Bombyx mori: one gene and its partner. The protein of the gene in region 1 binds, or shares a complex with, the protein of each later gene. Links are inferred from orthologs where the notes say so. Each region holds a gene or a part of one and is shown on either strand. Other genes may lie near its edges. The genes, in order: serine/threonine-protein kinase Warts and merlin.

What was found.
Region 2: the proteins of serine/threonine-protein kinase Warts (region 1) and merlin are in contact, whole or in part, in a crystal structure (PDB 7LWH), measured with the Homo sapiens proteins. The link is inferred for Bombyx mori from reciprocal best matches to the Homo sapiens genes LATS1 and NF2. Residues at the interface, in NP_004681.1 of Homo sapiens: Pro69, Lys70, Phe71, Gly72, His74, Ala77, Leu78, Glu80, Ile81, Arg82, Ser84, Leu85, Phe88, Ala89, Asn90; in NP_000259.1 of Homo sapiens: Pro135, Glu136, Ala137, Val139, Leu140, Tyr144, Asn175, Leu176, Tyr177, Gln178, Met179, Met183, Trp184, Arg187, Trp191, Glu206, Ile210, Asp213, Leu214, Glu215.

Annotation. Positions count from the first base shown.
Region 1 is NC_085112.1:13,709,392-13,718,662, reverse strand, and holds the start of serine/threonine-protein kinase Warts, read right to left. Parts: upstream 6,123-9,271; 5' UTR 5,832-6,122; exon of another isoform or gene 5,799-5,831; intron 5,489-5,798; exon of another isoform or gene 5,462-5,488; 5' UTR 5,212-5,461; coding exon 4,960-5,211; intron 2,981-4,959; coding exon 865-2,980; intron 788-864; coding exon 501-787; intron 263-500; coding exon 1-262. Other genes in the region: thioredoxin domain-containing protein 5 homolog, read left to right, coding at 8,195-8,334, 8,877-9,013, 9,129-9,247. UniProt on the Homo sapiens protein: Negative regulator of YAP1 in the Hippo signaling pathway that plays a pivotal role in organ size control and tumor suppression by restricting proliferation and promoting apoptosis.
Region 2 is NC_085122.1:2,604,426-2,613,844, forward strand, and holds the start of merlin, read right to left. Parts: upstream 5,727-9,419; 5' UTR 5,489-5,726; coding exon 5,402-5,488; intron 1,910-5,401; coding exon 1,780-1,909; intron 1,646-1,779; coding exon 1,440-1,645; intron 77-1,439; coding exon 1-76. Other genes in the region: RRP12-like protein, read left to right, coding at 6,275-6,410, 6,619-6,871, 7,562-7,688, 8,074-8,373, 8,483-8,566. UniProt on the Homo sapiens protein: Probable regulator of the Hippo/SWH (Sav/Wts/Hpo) signaling pathway, a signaling pathway that plays a pivotal role in tumor suppression by restricting proliferation and promoting apoptosis.

The DNA of each region.
Region 1 (9,271 bases):
AGTTCCTGAGCTTATCTGGATCAATGGGGTCGAAGTTGGATGTGTCTGTAGGGTATTCAATCCTCGGGATGTAAGGAGCAACCTGATTCCTCAATCCTTTGTCAAAATCGATGCCCTTGAGGAAGGGATGGTTTTTTACTTCATTGGCATCTTTGCCAAGCCTTGTGTCTTGACCAGAACATAGCTGCAGAATGAGGTCTTTGCTCTCTGGGGATAAGTTGGCTGCATCAGGTACGTGTAGTGTACTCTCCCAATTGATCACCTGAAAGTTAATAAATAGAGAATTTAGATAAATTTTTTAATGTTTTTTTTTTCAGAGCAGCCCTCTTAATGATTTAATCAATTGTTGGAAAACACAAAAATCACATTGAGAATGTCATTAAAATAAAAGCAATATCAGTGTAGACTATGGTCTATTTTACTAGATCTTAACAAACAGCTTATCAAATTGTACTCTATTTTGTATCTATCATAGAACATATCATAAAGTTGTGTGTTACCTTGAGTTGCGTCTCTGCGGGGGTCGGCGCCAGGAACGGCGGCGACCCAACCAACATCTCGTACAATATAACTCCAACCGACCACCAATCGCAAAGCTGCGTGTATCCAGTCCGCTGCAAGACTTCAGGCGCAATATAGTTTGGGGTTCCCACTAACGAATGGGCCAAACACCGCTGGTGTTCTCTTCTCCGCCGCCTTTCTAAGGGTTTGAGTTGATAACATCGACATTCGCCCATAGCCCCCCATTCTCCATCCACTGGATCCATTGAGTCTTGTCGTCCATGATCTGAATACAAAAAAAAAATGTAACACCAAATCAATCTCTAAAACACTGCATAAATTTTACAAAAAACTGTCTCATACCATTCCTTTGATAATATTTGGAGTTGTGCGTCCATCTAAAACCGGTGCATAGACCAAAATCTGTTAACTTTATATGACCATCACGATCTATCAATATGTTATCTGGCTTGATGTCTCTGTGGATAAAACCCATTTTGTGCACGCTTTCGACAGCACACGTCAACTCTGCAATGTAGAACCTAGCGAGATTCTCCTCGAATATTCCTAATTTTATTAATAAGGACATAAGGTCCCCGCCCGGTATATAGTCCATTACAAAATACAGATTATCTTTATCTTGGAAACTGTAATAAAGCTTGACGACCCATTCGTTGTCTGCCTCCGCCAATATGTCTCTTTCGGCTTTTACGTGTGCCACTTGATTTCTCTTTAGCACGTCAGCTTTCCGAAGTGTCTTCATGGCATACAGATGACTAGTATCGATCTTTTTCACCAACGTCACCTCCCCAAATGCTCCCACACCTATAGGCTTAATCTTAGTAAACATAGACTTGTCCATCTTGGCCCTTTTCAATCGAATATAATTGGATTCCTTCTGGGACAGCATCTTTCTCATCTGACACTGAGCTTCTGCACTTAGACCTATTTTACTCATCTCCTTTTCGAGTTGCATCCTTCTGAACAGTCTCTGTTTATAAGATTTCAAAACGTTTTCCACATGCTGTTCCATAAAAAATTTGAAAGCTTGCGGTGAATAATTTCGGACTTTACAATCTCTTCTCTCGTCTTCTTTTTCTTTACTGTAATTTCTGCGTTCCGGTATTGGCGATTGATGCCTTATCTTATCTAACATTTTTGGTCGTCTGTCCGATGATCCGTTAGAGCCTTTGTCGGAGCCGGAGGCCGTGACGTTGTCTTTTAAGAGATTATTCGTACAGTTCTGGTTGGGACACTTAATTTCGTGCGGCCCTTGTGACGATTCAGGTTTACCGTCACAGTTATTCGAAATTTTCTTATGTAAAGGAGAATGGTGGGAATTAACAGTAGTCGTGTTGTCGGCTTGGTTACCGTACGGAGGCGGCGGGACGGGGTGCATGCCGCGTTGAACGGCGAGCACTTGCATCGTGATCGCATAACTTGGTGGCTCCGTGGTCGGGACGGCGGGAGGAATCGCAGTAGGTGTGGAGCCAGGAGACGACGGCTTCGGTGCCGACGGGTAGCTGGGCGGAGTCTGTGCCTGCTTCTGTTGGATGGAGCTCGCGTACGAAGGAGGGGGTGGGGGTGCTCCGGCACTGGTGGCTGGCGGTGGGGCAACCGGTGCTATCGCCGTTTGTAGTACCGGTTTCTGAACTTGTGTGCTTTTCACAGACTGCATGATGATAGGAGGCTGCACCGCTTGTCTCGCGGTCCACGCCTGGAGCGGCGTGGGGCGAGTCATTCCCGCGGCTGAACCAGTCGATTGCGTTACCGTAATTGGACTCGGCGAGCCGGCGGAGGTGCCTCCTGAATAGATCCCCGAAGATGGACTCTTCCTGTAATCCTGCGACTGGGTTGGGCTTTGACGATTTTGGATAGAGACCGAGTAGGGAGGAGGTGGCGGCGCACCCGACATCGGATACGGCGGTGGAAGTTCGCCGCCGCCACCCGTTTGATAGATACTGAGAGCTTGTATCTGCTGCGTAAGCTGCTGTTGCACTTGAGGTCCATTTTGTACAATCATGGGTTGTCTGGCAGGCGGCGTGGGTGCCGCGGCCGCCACGGGACTGGTGCCCCGCGCCGGTGGTAGAGGTGGCGCCGGCGACATGCGCTTGAGCAGTTGCTGCACGGAAGGCAGCACCGGCGGCGTGGACGGACATCGCGGCGGCGGAGGTGGCGGTGGTTCTGAGAAACCTGAAGGCGAATACTGTCGCGATAGCTTCTCGTGTGGTAGCGGCGGTGGCTCCGATTGACGCGGACTATCAGACCGGGAGCTACCAGCACCTGAATCAAGTGCAGGACTACCACGATGTAGATTTATCTCTCTCTCTAGACTAGGTTTCCGGATAAGTTTGGTGCCAAGAGCACTCAAGTTACTGCTTTTGAGGACGCCGTTGAGAGGTTCTTGCTGTTTCGACAAATAATCGAGAGCTGCATCAAAACGCCCTCCTGCATATTTGAGTGCCCTCACAGCTGGGTCCTGAAATGATTTTTTCTAAATAATATACTCATTATTCAAAAACAGAAGCAAAACAAGATAATGAAATTTTACCAAATTGATTATAATCTAAGTACACCGTGAATATCTCTTCTGACGGTGAGTGGTTACTAGAGCCAATAGACATCACAGCGTATATGCGCCGTCATCCATCTCGAGACAAGAGGTCTAATTTTTCAATTGTATAGTATATTAACTGTCCTGCCCTTCTAATTAGAGCATATTACTGCTTGACAGTAAAATTCGGTAGGGTGGTGTGCCCCACCCTGCAGCGGCAGGTACAAACCATCCATCTAATAATAAAAAATTCGGGCAGGGGGCTTAGGGGGCGCGTAGAGTATGTGGGTGTTGATGGTCCGTAGACATTGGGAGAGAACCGCAGGTCCAAGAACGTTTAGGGCCCTACCTACCAAAAGACTCTCCTTGCACTCTCTCCCCCAACGCCCGATCTTCGTCTGGGTCCAGTGCCCGAGCAGAGTAAGGGCAGAGTAACATTATAAATTAACAACCAACATTCGATCAATGGATAGTTGACGACCAACAAACCTAGTCTCTGTGTGGTAATATAATAATAATGGCATGGCAAAACTAGTATACCGAACTTCTTATGTAGATCTTGCTTGGAGTTTTTATTGTAATTTTGTTGTAGATTGTAATATAATTATTATCTTGCTGACTTATAAACTTTACATAGACAAACTATGTGAATATAATTCCTATTTTACCTCATTCTAATACTATTATATATGTTGAAAAAAGGATTTATTTGAGTACACAGTAATGTAATTTTTCGCCTGGGAAATTTATGAGAACAATTGTGAAAACTAAAAATTAAATTGATATTGGAGATCTTGAAAACTTCCTGCTATCAGTCACCGATGATACTAATAGCTAGAAGATACATATAATCCAAGACGGTAGAAAAAAAAGCATGTGTAGAATAATTTTAAAAAAATCTTTTTTTATCATTAATATTAGATTTTATTATTTTAGGCTTTATAACTAAGCCTATAGATCACAATAGGGGTTTTAAAAAATCTGAACACGAAGCTGAATTCAAAAATGCATTAAAATATTTGACAGCCTGCCCTTTAAACCAGAATACATGGTTAAAGTGTTAGGTATAGACAGAATATTGGTATATGACCATATTTATTCTCAAGACAATATGCATTTACAACATGCACAATACAATAATGAAAATAAAAATTAAAATCTTGTGTTTTTGTATTGTGAATAAATTACTTCTCAATTTAATTCTGGTCAACATTATATCCAAGAACACAACCTTAAGCATTCATTTTATAACTGTTATGACTATAAATTTGATTCAATTTAAATTATGTTTAACATGATTGTTGAAAATGAAAACAAACTACCACTGGTTTCATGATTGCCTATTCCTCATTCCACTGCAACCAGGCAATATGCAAGTAATTAGCTTGTACTTATAGTGTTTATGTTTAATTAAAATTTCTCAGTTATTGCAAATAACAATAACTTAAGTTTTACTCAAACCTGGTTAAAGATTGTCCTTAGCCTTGGTATTAATGAAAATGGACATTAATCACCAATAAATACTGATAATATCGGCCATACACTGCCTTCTACATTAAAAGTTGATAGTCTTTCTTATTATATTTTAATTGTATTATAAATTCCATGTATTTTTATATGTATATTTCTTCTGTGCGTGTGTTTGTCACTGAACTCCTCCTAAACGGCTGGACCGATATTAATGAAATTTTCTGTGTATCTTCAGGTGGATTTGAGAATGGTTTAGATTTATAAAGCAACCCGGCACTGCAGTCGGTATCTTTCCTAGAAATATTTTTATGGCAAAACAATGCCAGCCAGTTTTTTTATAAAAATTAAAGATAATGGAATAATGACACTAAAAAAACACTAATCATATCTGTTATTTAGAAACACTTTTAGCAATTCATTATAACTAAACTCACCTCATCATAACCCAAGGCAATAAGTTGGTTCAAGGATTGAGGTAGCACATTCAAGTCTTTATCGAGTCCATTTCCCGAAGAAGAACTAAACCCCGAACTCACTCCTGAACTAACTGTGCTAGCAGCTGATGAACCTGGCGGTTCAGAGTTTCCAATGTTCGCAAAGGGAAGCAATGAGTTTCTGATTTCGGCAAGCGCCTTCTGGTGGTATCCGGAGCGCGTAGCCGTTTTGCCGGGCGCCGGCGGGTTCATGGCGCCCGCGCCCGCGCCCGTGCGCCTCACCTCTCACCCCACGCCTCCCATCACATGAGCACACCCCACACCCTGTACATATCCTTGTTTATTATCCTCCGCACCATTTATTCAACACTCTAATTAAGACTCGCAGCACTGTCACTGTCTTTATTATCGAATTTATTTCGTTTATATATCGATTTCCTCACTAGTCAGTCTGTATCAACATTGCTTTTTGTGTAGCAGCGTGAAAGGTACTTTCTTTTAACTGAAAAATATTTTTAAATATTAGTACCTAATCAATTGAGAATTCCTCTTGCTTTAGATCCCTTAAATTTTATGTGATAATAAAATAATGAGTTAAATAAGTTAGATGAGAAAAGTTTGACATCTTGGCAACAGGATAGGGATATGATTTGTCGACTTTATACAGAACCTGTTTACAGTATCAGACAATTCGAGTACACAATTTTTAACAGTATCGCATTCTATCCAAGAGTACGAGGATGTAAGGAATGTCTAATGCGAATCAATCATGACATAGACTTGTGGAATTCCAAAATTAGAGGGAGCTCGGAAAGCAATGTTTCGTTCATTCAAGGCACTAAGAAGAATAATTAATTACTGTAATTCATTACCAGGCACTTTTTCACTTTCTGTAAATCCGTATTATATGCACAAATGTCATAATCCCATAAAATGAAATTCAGTTCGATCGACAGCTCTCACATTGCCGATGACATCTTTCTTGCACACTTAGTTTTGATTAGTCGCATTAATTTTTATACGGAAGAGGCAATCTGGAGTCGATAGAGTTGTGCTTTAAAGCGAGAGTTTCTAAGGAAATATGAAAACAAAGGACTCTAAAACACAGACATGCAAGTTGGCAAACCATACAAAGCGACCATTTTGAAGAATTACCACATTCTTTAGTGTGTTCGGATACACAGAAGATTAAATTCCATTTTGTTTGACGACTCTTTTTCGTAAAAAAGAACCCAGCTAAAGCACTCATCTGCTTACTAATGTAGGAATTTCTCTATTAAAAGTAATAATCAGACCTTTAAAAAAACACTTCTACAGAATTGTCGAAATGAAACTGTATCCGAATAATAAGAAAGTCACAGGCATGGAGTAAGTACCTAGTCACAGGACTCACAGCAAAAATCCTAACTGCAAAAATTCTAAAGAAAAAAAAAAGAGTATAACGGTCTAATTCTAAGACTGTTAAATTAAGAAATTTCTATCTGCTATTGCCTAATTCATTTTCTTCATAACAAGGTGACACTCTACAAAACATGCATACGTTCCATTGTGAAATAGGCTTGGAGTTAATAAGGAAATAGGTAAGTGTAGTGTTCGCTCACGCGTCCCGTTCACACATGAACTCTCTCCAGGTTATCCAATCCCATTTCTGCAAAATAGCCTTCGGAGCACCGTGGTACGTAAGAACTAATTAGTTTCTATCAGTAAAAACCTTATGGAAGCGTCGGAACGCTATTTTGATAAAGCGGCGTGCCATTACCTTTCCGCTTCTCATTACATATCCGACCCAGGCAACAGGGCAACCTAAAGCCGCCGTAGCCATTAACATATTCTTTCCGATCTTTCAGGTCCACTTTCAAAGATTCTTCTGTCGTTCGCTGTGCACGTTACTCTCTGCTGTGCTCGACGTATGAAATAGCTCATAGACACCACCCACTGAGATCTCGCCGGATCTTCACGGAGGGCTGTGATTCCGATCCTGTGTTAAATTCAACCAAGTACATCTCTACCTGAGGCCAGTGCTAGGAATTTTTTTAGGTTGTTGCTGTTGTCAAGTTGTGACTTTTTTATTTTTTTATTTACTGTTTCATCAGGTTTAGTATGTTATGACGGTGGTTTATTAACATTTTAGTATCTCTGAAAGTACACAAGGGTGGTTAAACGAAACAAAATAGTTGGATATTGCTTTTTGAATTCTTCCAAAGTCCATTGATCTTATCTTGTCATCCTTAACCTCCGAACTACCTATTATAATAGGCGGCGTGCGGCAAAATACAAACACCACAAAGCAACCAACGGTGGTATCCTTGGCGTCGTATCTCGCGAAAGTGTTGCAGGTCCCCGGTTAGGTGGTGAACAAATATGGCCAACGGTTCGCCCTTATTGGTGTTTGACGGCGATATATGCCGCGGCTTTCTTGTTGCGGTTCAAAGTCAACAGTTCAAAGAAGATCGTCGCAAATATTAACTCGTGCAGCGAGCATGAGAGGAAAGTATAAATAATACACATAATATCAGGAGAGCACAGATGAATATATTAGTTGGAGGAGAGTACAAAAGTTATGTGTATTATCTATGAGTACAACATTAAACGGACAATAAGTACGGCCTGTGTTCCAGCTGCGCCAGAACAATCCCGCACCGTGCCGGCTCCCTTAAGATTTTGTTTAATTCCAACCATTTTACTAATTATTTCATTGGTATGGTATTGTTTTATCTCAGTTCAGTTAATCCACATATCCTTCTTCAAACGAGGCTTGTGCAGAGTACTTAACGGCGAGAATACTTAACGGTAGGCAGCAGCTTGGCTCTGCCCCTGGCATTGCTGAAGTCCATGGGCGACGGTAATCACTCACTATCAGGTAGACCGTATGCTCGTCTGCCTATAAGGACAATAAAAAAGATATCTAATTTAATTTTTGATTCAATTTTTTATCAATCTATATCAGTTGACTTTCCACACAACAGACATAGATTCACCTTTGTTATAGAATATTACTGTGTATGTTATATGTGCTACGTTCCCTGTGCTGCCAATAGACAAACCAAACGAAAAAGTTTGAAGTGCTGTGCAGCAAAGCAAAATTTATCCAACAAATACGAAATTATTTGTTGTTTTAGATTTAACCTATTAGCTACTTAACTAATGAGAAGGAGAAAAGATATAAATGAAAACAACCTAAAAAAGTTACCTCAATTCACAGAGGCATTGTTTAGAAATATATTCCTTCACCACAATGAAGATATTACCATATCTATTTGTATTTCCGTATCTTGTAGCTCCTGAACAGAGTTCTGTTTACGAATACAATCCCAGTAATTTCAAATTCCAGATCGAAGAAATGGATGGAAACTTTATTATGTTTTACGCGCCATGGTGAGAACAATAATTGAATTTACATTATTCCTTTCAGTGATTAAATTCAAAACAATCTACATATTCATTTATTTATGATAAAAATTATACTAAATATTGAATCGAAACGATTTTATAAATAAACTTAATCTAATTTTCTTTAGTTGACCGAAATGTAAATGGTATACCGTAGTGACATCGATGAGGCCTATTGTGTGTGAACCTCTAATAGAAATTGAAAATACGAAGATCACAGCCAAGCTTCCGTTCAAAACAAAAGATTTGAATGCCCTCAATAAAAACGAACTGATGTGGGTAGTGGTGAAAAAGATCCTTCATACTTATTGACTAAACTACAAAGTTAGATGAGCATTTTTACAAAAAGGCTGACGACTGATTCAATGAGGGTAATTCACGATATAAAATTAAAAAAGTTGTTAACCATCCACAACTAAAGATGTGTTCCAAGAGAGTTTCAATAAAATACTGTTTGAAATTACCATAATATCTATATTTTTTACCATTACGGTACTATACCATTTACAGAAATTATATGTTTTAAGGTGTAGACATTGCACAGAATTTTATCCGATATGGTCAGAATTGGCAGAGCTGGTTAATACCAAGGACTCCAAATTTGCCATTGCCCAAGTTGACTGCACAGTGCATGCTAAGCTTTGTCATGAAAATGAAATAACAGGTACTTAAGTAAGCATACACATAATTTCCTTGTTTTTAAGTATGTACATAATAGAATTTTTTTTTAAAATAGGTACACTAGTTGATGGTGTAAATAAATTTGAAAAAAATTACAGGTTATCCAACATTATTTTATTTCCACAAAAATACATTTACACCAGTTGAATACAAAGGAACAAGGGACTTACCATCATTGACATTGTTTCTGAGCGAAGCCTTCTCTGTCAAAACAGAGGTGAGTAGTAGAACCATTTTGTCA
Region 2 (9,419 bases), on another chromosome or scaffold:
GGAGCAGATCCTCGCTGGCCAGCATACCGGGCTTGTAGGCGCTCTCGTCATAGTCGCCATACTGAAAAACATAGGCCTTTGGGAAATACTAGTTAGGTATTAACTTCAAAACTTATGGACAGTTAAGGCGTTCTTTAACGTTATTCTTTCCTTCAAATTTCTTTTTTGTTGCTTAGATGTGTGGACGAGCTCACAGCCCTCCTGGTGTCAAGTGGTTAGTGGATCCCACAGACGTCTACAAATGCGCCACCCATCTTGAGATATAAGTTCTAAGGTCTCAGTATAGTTACAATGGCTACCCCACCCTTCAAACTGAAACGCATTACTGCTTCACGGCAGAAATAGGCGGGGTGGTGGTACCTACCCGTGCGGACTCACAAGAGGTCCTACCACCAGGCCGGAATTGAGGACGCACCATTATTTTCAGTTTGCGCTAGGCCCACCAGATGCTAAGCTGTTACCTGACATGAGTCTGAAAACCTTTCAAACTGGAACCCATGACTGCTTCGCTGCAGAATGTGGCAAATTGATGATACCTCCACCTTATTACACAACACCACCTCTTTTGTGACTTTAGTATAGTGTGACTTTATTATTTCTCCACATATCAAGGGAAACAAACGCATTATTGATATGAAAAAAATAATTCAACGTAATAAATTTGTATAGGTTTGAAAAGTAAGGCTGTGGTGACGCTGGGAATATCTCTGGGCCACCAGCAATCCCATCTTAAACCGTCCCAACAAACCAACAACAAGACTTTTCAATTCAATATTTAATGGTCAAAAATCTTAAATCCCCACATTCAAAGACCAGTTTTTATCGCAAATACTAGACCTCTACTCGTTTTTGTTACTAATAGACACTCACTGATATTAATCCGTGAGGTACGCTGTGAGTACAGCAGAAGACTGTCCACTATGTGATCCTTATTGACACAATAGATTTGATAGTAAAAACTGCGTAAAGGTATCCCAACTGCGTCCTGGAACAATCTTCTTAAAGACTAAACGCGTAGAGCGATATCTCCATATTGGACCTAATCACGATTTTTGAAAAAAATTTTCTACCTACTCTGGTAATATCGAGGGGTTATACTAGATTCGCAGAACAAGCAGATGAGTTCACAGGGCTCTAACTTGACGACGTTGGTAACACGCCCTAGTAAGAACAGTACATTGCAGAATCTACCACCGGATCGGAAACGCGACCCACTGAGAATATCCGGCGAGAAACTCAGTGGGCTGTGTCTGTGGATTAATTTACTCGGCGAGCCCTTCGTTGCAAGCGACGGGTTTGGATTACCGGTGCTTGAGGTACCTAAAAGCACCGTTAGTGGATCGGGAGGATCCGTAATGACGTGTTTAGGGCGACGTCGACTGATTACCATTCGATCCGCAGGATCGGGAATGATCTAATCACACAATTCTAAGACTCACTTTAGCTTGTACAGCGTAACTGGCCAGTAGGACGGAAGCCTCGGGGGGACAGTAGATGTCCATGCTTAATATCGCCTGCTTCACCTGGAGGAACAGCAGGTGCTGTGTGACCTCTTGGATCAGTTCTTCGGCCACGTCCTCGGGATACAACTTGCAGAGTAACATGAAGGGAGTACCTGGCATTTGGGAGACGCATTGGTCTTGTACTGAAAATAAAACACAGGTACATAAGTATAATACAAAACAAAAGAATATAGGACATTCTATTGGTACAATTCGGCCTGAGTAAAAGTAGTTCTAATAATGTAACCGTAAATAAACAAATAAACTTTACTGATACCTCTCTTGTCCAACTTCAGCCAGCTTATAAAATGTTTTGTGTCTTCGAATTGGAGACCGAAGAACCATGTTTCACGTAGGCCAATTGTCCTGCACACCAGGTCGAACAAATCACGACCCGTAGCTCGCCACTGGAACACAATCGATTCCTTAGCTCTGTGTGCTTATTGAGAGTTCTTTAACGTTCTCGACAGCGCAAAAGTTAACTCAAAATTGTATGGAGTTACAGCGTTTACCGTTAGGGGCGCTGTTCCAACTGCATACAAATTGGAGTTAACTTATACGCTATCGAGAACGTTAAAAAACTCGCACTAAGCAGTGATCGCAATTTGAATACCGGAACGAAAAAACGACACCAGGTAGAGACAAACATATGCATATACAGGAATGTGCCTACCAGAGAATGAGATAGAATTCTTCTGAAGGTTTCACTTCTAACTTTCTACGTTAATATACCTTAACCTTTTTAAACACTATTGTTATTGGAATTTAATCTTACAGCGTAATGGACAATTTATGCCATTGCTATTTTGACTAGTGCACTTATAAAGTCATAGGCCTTATCTATTGCATTTATAATGTAAGATGAAGAATATCAATTACATTGTTAGTAAACTGGATTAAATGAATTGAAGTGAATCACATTAAATTGGTGCCCGTCTGCGGGATTCGAACGCCAGCACATTCATATCACTCGATACGATCACACCAGGCGTCTTATCCTTTAGGCCACGACGACATCAAAACATTTGACATTTACAAGTTCATTTCTTTTACAGTACCTACATATTATAATTTCAATACTGTTACGCCGATAAGAGTAACGCCATCTATCGCCGATCGTCAAAGGACCTAGAAGTACAACGCCATCTATTGTCAGATAGCGGAAACTACTACTAGAGATGTGTGGAATATTCTAGATAATTCTAGGAATGTGGTATCAACTATAAAAGCGTTGCAGGGATGGCACGCAGTCAGTCAGTAATCGGAACTACTCGAAGCGAAACAGCGAACGGATCACCTGAAGCGAAGCGAAGCGAACTGAGAATTTTAACGTGTTTGTAATGTGTTTAAGCGTTTTAAGTGTTGAATACAGTTTTTAAGTTGTACTTTAGTGGAATTTTATTTATCCCGAACCCCAGCGCGTAACAATATTAATAAATCAAATAAATTAAGTTAAAAATTAAGTCAAATAAATTAAATTCCCTTATTAGCAGCTATTTAAAAAACAACGTTCTAAATAATTGTAAGCATTTTAATTAGCAAAACTACGCATCGCCATGTTATCATACAATGGAATTTGAATGATAAGAATAACATGCTAATAGTGTTATTTTGTAAGGAATACATTATCTTCTACAGATATAAAAATGAATATTTGTAGCTTTGTTGTTGTTCGTTTTCTATGTGATGTCAAACACAATTAAACAGAATCTAACCAAACCATAAATCTAAAGGTGGGCGGTGACAGTCACATTTATAATAAATGGGCTTTGGTAAAGATTTAACTTCGGTGAACCGTGATTTAGTCTACTGATTATTAGGGTTAAGGGTGCGTTATCATTTTAATATTATTAAATAATAAAAATTGTAAAAGTAAGAAACAAAACCTTGATCAAGTAACATATCCCTTTTTTAATTTATGTAAAAAAATTCAATGACAAATTATTCAGCCATCTTATTATAGTTTAAAACATAGTTCTTCTGGTTAGAAGTAGATTGTCCTTTTCATTCCATTTGTCTATTCAGCAATAGCAAGGTTATAAATCCTGTTCAGTAAATTTCTTGACTACTCTTAACTATATAACAGCGGTCCCATCCTTCAAACAGGAGCACATCATTGCTAAGTAGCAGAATTAGGGAGGATCATGGTGCCTACTAGATAGGGCCTACAATATGCTCTAATACTACTGTAAACCATGTTATGTTGGTATACAACTAAGGGAACTATACTGGCTGTTCTCTGGTCAATCTTCGAGTTGCCTTTTCTGACACCCACAGAAAGCTTTGATGTGGTGAAATTTTAGGCATGATTTAATTTATTATTACAATTTACCTCTACCATGCAATTAAGGAAATATAATTTACTAATATTAATAAACAATTCAACAATACAATAATGCTCTTATTTATCCTTAATTATAATGTATTTTGTAATTATACTCAATATTTTTACTGTTATTATTTATATACATATAATATATATATATACGCTTTTAATACATATACATTATATAATACAAATATTTTATTCTTTCAATATTAGTGACGACTCTTAACACTAACTTAGAAAGAAAATTCATCAACACTGTCACTAATGTTAGTGATGTTTAGAATGTATTTTCGAATACAATAATGTATAGTAATGTTTGTTTATTAAGTTTTTTTTTATTGCCTAGATGGTTTGACGAGCTCACAGCCCACCTGGTGTTAAGTGGTTACTGGAGCCCATAGACATCTACAACGTAAATGCGCCACCCACCTTGAGATATAAGTTCTAAGTTCTCAGTATAGTTACAACGGCTGCCTCTCCCTTCAAATCGAAACGCATTACTGCTTCACGGTAGAAATAGGCAGGGTGGTGGTACCTACCCGCACGGCCCCACAAGAAGTCCTACCACCAGTAATTACACAAATTATAATTTTGCAGGTATGATTTTTATTACACAATGTTATTCCTTCACTACGGAAGTCAATCGTGAACATTTGTTAAGTATGTATTTCATTAGAAAAATTGGTACCCGCCTGTGGGATTCGAACACCAGTGCATCGCTCAACACAAATGCACTGGACGTCTTATCCTTTAGGCCACGACGACATCAAATCACAGGTCTCTTAGAGTGGAGCTGTTAGCTAGAGCTGCTATTGGCACAATGGCTGAACATATTCTTTTATGTTGAGACTTCATTGTACTATTTCTGATAAAATTTAATCTTTGACATTCAGTTGAGTGATAACTCATGTTATAATGTCAAAGGAACTCATTAATCTTCACACAAAATATACAGCATTTACAATGTTAAGTATAGTAGAAACTTCTTTGTTAAAAAAATTATATACATCCAAATATATGTGATATTCAAGTTTACATATTTAGCTTGCTTTTAAAAACTGTCTAAAGTTACACATTCTAAAGATATTTATTATAATTAATATAAAATGACTTCTGTTTTTACACTCTTTAATTTTTAAAATTACATTAGTGTTTCTAATATTTAGGAAATGAAAACATTAATCCAAACAAACTTTTTAATTAAATTTCTGAATATTATATTTCTATGTTTTTTAATCAAATCATTTTAAAAGAAATCATCATCATGAAGAAATTTCAAAACTTAAATATTTAACGCGAGCAACCTTACATACATGGTAAAAATTTAAAGATAATTATTATTTATAATGACATTTTTATTAAGCAATGTGGTCAAACAGATAAGAGTCATAGAAGATATGATCATTATACCCTCAACATACAAAGTACTTGCAATGTTCATTAATATCATCAATTAACAAGTGCAGGGCGCCTCCGCATGACTCATAATACGATCGGATGAATACTTAGTACCTACTAAATGGAAATAGTGTAAACAAAAAGGTTTACCACAACAGAAAATACAGTTTACCTCGAGGTTGAACTCCAATTCAGCATCCAATGTGCATACTTTAACTGGAAAAGATTTAGCAGCTTTCTTCCTCCGGAAGGGCGGCATTATTCTTATATCATTTCTCGTTTACAAGAATCACGAAACACCACCGAGGTTATGAATTTTCAACTAGCATTTAACTAATTACACGGCAACGTCTCCCGTTTACGTAATGAACACTCGATAAAGGAATGCGTGTAATTTCACATTGCGTACTATTTCCAGCGGTTATTATTTACAAACAAGAAAAACGTCAATGAAACAAGCAATGCGAAGGTGAATGAAAAACCTATTGAAAGGTAAACGTTCCATTCTACTTTAAAATACATCGGACTGGTCATTGAAATGAAGTTTAGGTCACGTATAACGAAACGTAATATGGATTTGAAAAATGAAAGAAAAAATCGGACAATGGGTTCAATGAAGTGATATTAGTTTAATAAAATGTTGCGGTTGATTCCTGAACTGAAATAGTTTATTTTAATATTATTATTTTTTAGATATTTAATTAATCTAATATTTTTTAAGTAATGTTTTTATTCCGTAGTTTACCTAACTCTAAACTTCAGCTCTCGACCCCGATTAGATGTGATCCACAGTATTTCTAACTACTCTTAAATCTAATTGAAACAGTTTTACTTTGCAGGATAAGACTTGCGTTCATTATCCATTTTGCCTAGAAAGAATGTGTTTGACGTTTGACAGTAATTTGACAACTATTTCATTTTGCTTGCTGCATAGACCTATTTCCTACTTCATTGGCTTGCTGTCATTATTTTCAATCAAAACACTGAACACTTTTTCCCCACGTGTGTTACATCTTTCATTTGCATATTGTTATGAAATACTAAAATGGGTAAATTTAGATCAAAACTTAAAGGCAAAACGAAGGGGAAACGATGGCAGAAAGGACAGTCATCAAATTCGAACCCGAAAATTCAAAAATACAGGGAGATGGCAAAATCCCGGTTTTTTCAGGAAAACTTAGGTATGTTCTCTCTAAAACTTCTCAAAATCATTCGTTATGGAAAAACGGATTTATAAACATCACAAAAAGTTGTTGAACAGTAATTTCAAAGTAAAATTTCCTTATAAAATCATAACCTAGAACATGACTAAATTAACTAATCTCATACTTTTTATGTTAAAATTAAGATAATTTCCTTATAAGTGACTCCTCTAATTAACTTCTACAGGCAGCACTGGCTTAACACAGCAAGCGGTGTCCAAGCATGAAGCTATGATGACATATGGACATAAAACTAACAAAACAAAATCAGATGCTGAAAATGAACTGACCATAGTAAAAGAGCTTGAAAATATGTCGGTCAAGACCGGAGACGAGGGATCAGAGTCTGAATACTCTGGTACATTAAGATCAGGAACATTTAAGACATTTCAAACATTTGCATCTGATTGGAGTCAATGTTCAAATATCAGCTTTCATAAGTAAGTTAAAGTTTAAATAGATATTTTAATTTTATTGCAGTATTTGAGACAGTACCTGAAAACAGGTTTCTATACTCACAATTGCTAATGTGATATTGAAAATAAAATACAAAATGTGGATAATTACTTAAGTAAGCCTTTATATGCACTTTAGTTATGACTTTAAATAGTCATGACTAGGAATTATTTGGAAAACTACTTGGAATAGAAATTATTTGGAATTCAGTGGAATACTGAATTATAATTCTAAGATGAAACTTAGGACATGTTCTTCTTAAAAAAATCTCTTTTAATCTTTTTTCATTTCATACTTTAAGTACCACTTTTTCATGAGAGACTTGCTTATTATAAATTTGGAATAAATTATATCAAGTACTAAGAATTTTTGTGAAATAATTTATGACCAAAACTCATTGCAACAAAATAAAGTATGCACCAGTGAATAAGTAAGAGCTAAACAAATATACTCTCAGATATATTCAATTGATACTTGCAGAAGAGAAAGTATTTATACATATTTGGCTATAATTTTACTTTATTTTTTATATTACTTTGACTTAAATCAAAATCAATTTACCGAAATACCACATCACATCTTTTTATTTCTTCAATAGATTGAGTCTTTAAGTTTAATGCTCTTCATTCCTTTATAAGCTAAGATACACTCATTTTTTATAAAATTTACTGTAGATTGCTAAATCGTTTTGATTCAAACAATGCACTGCACAAGGAAATGCTAGCAGTGCTGGCGGCTGTGACTGAAGTTATCAAAGAACAAGGAGGTAAAGAGACTACAACGGAATACTTTGCTGCTCTTGTAAGTAATAACGGTCATAAATTTCTTAAACTGAAAGCTGATATCTTATACTTGGATATATAGATACAGTGAAACTAATAATAAATAAAAATAAATGAAACTAATGTTTAAGTGATGGCAAAATTTTCAATAATATCTTCTTTTTGTCCAACTAGTGGGTCGGCACAGCAAATTATTCTACTCCATTCTTCTCTTTTATCAGCCGTCATCTTAACATTCACTTCCCTCTCATATCGTCATTCACACACTCCATCCATGTTTTCTTCGGTCGACCACCTCTACCTTGCACTACCATTTCCATACATATCCTAATCAAATGCACCTTCTCTCTACGCATCACATGTCCAAAATTTTTAATAATATACTACTATATATTTCTGTATAGATGGAAACTCTAAAGGCATCCGAACTGGAAGACAATTTAGTAGCCACAATAACTTTACTATCAATGGGCATCAAAGCAGTACCACAAGCAGTACTGCGTAAACAATTTTCGGACTCCTCAACAATATTTATGGAATTACTCGAGGAGCATGCTCAGTCTGAAAATGGAGCATTGCTGAGGAGCACAATTGGATGTCTGTCGGTGCTGCTGAGAGCTCAGGAGTATGCTGTCTGGGGTGATTCATCAACTATGAGAGTGTTTGAATCCGTTCTGGCCTTTGCACTGCACTCTAAACCCAAGGTCTGTTCTGAACCAGATATTAATTTTATTACTTTTTGAATTGATTTTTATATTGGTACAACTCACACATTCCAAATAGTAATTGTTTATAATTTTGTAATCTGTGCAGGTTAGAAAAGCGGCACAACATGCTGTGGTATCTATACTACGCGGAAGTAGCTTCATGATACCATCAGAGGATAAAAAAATTAAGGTATTTGAACAAAATCTAATTATATATTATGCTTTAATGAAACGTCCAAGTTTTCGAAGTGCATTTATTAAGTTACTGTTACATAAACAAAGAACGACAAATATATAATGATTATAATAATTATGAAAACAAAATAAGTTTTTTTTAATATGGTCTAAGAGCTGAGTTACGTTAGCAATACTAATGTCACAAACAAGCTGGTGCTGTATACCAATCTTCTCAAACCTCGTTTGAATTAGACCATATTGTGCACTAAATACTGTGGAATGGATTTCAACCCTCAATTCAATTCAAACGCAGTGTCTAGATCTCTAAGTGGTAAGAATCAGCTGTATTTCGGTACTGGTTACAGGACAGCACTGGTGGTGTGAAGGGTTTTTTTTATTGCTTAGATGGGTGGACGAGCACACAGCCCACCTGGAGTTAAGTGGTTACTGGAGCCCATAGACATCTACCACCGTAAATGCGCCACCGTGAGATATAAGTTCTAAGGTCTCTGTATAGTTACAACGGCTGCCCCACCCTTCAAACCGAAACTAATTACTGCTTCACATCAGAAATAGGTAGGGTGGTGGTACCTACCTGTGCGAACTCACAAGAGGTCCTACCACCAGTAAAAAAAGAGTGGAAAGAAATGGTTTGGTGAAACAATCTCTTAGAGCATTTTTAAATCTCTTATGAAACAAACACATTACATTGAATAATGACTTCAACGTGCAAGTGCACCAGACTAATTGTGTATATTCCAATAAAGCAAGTCCCTTGGTAGAACGTCTCAAAATTTTATAGCCAAATATGAATAAATAGTTTGCCTTAAACAAGTTTGATTTGAACATATTCTAGAGTATATTTG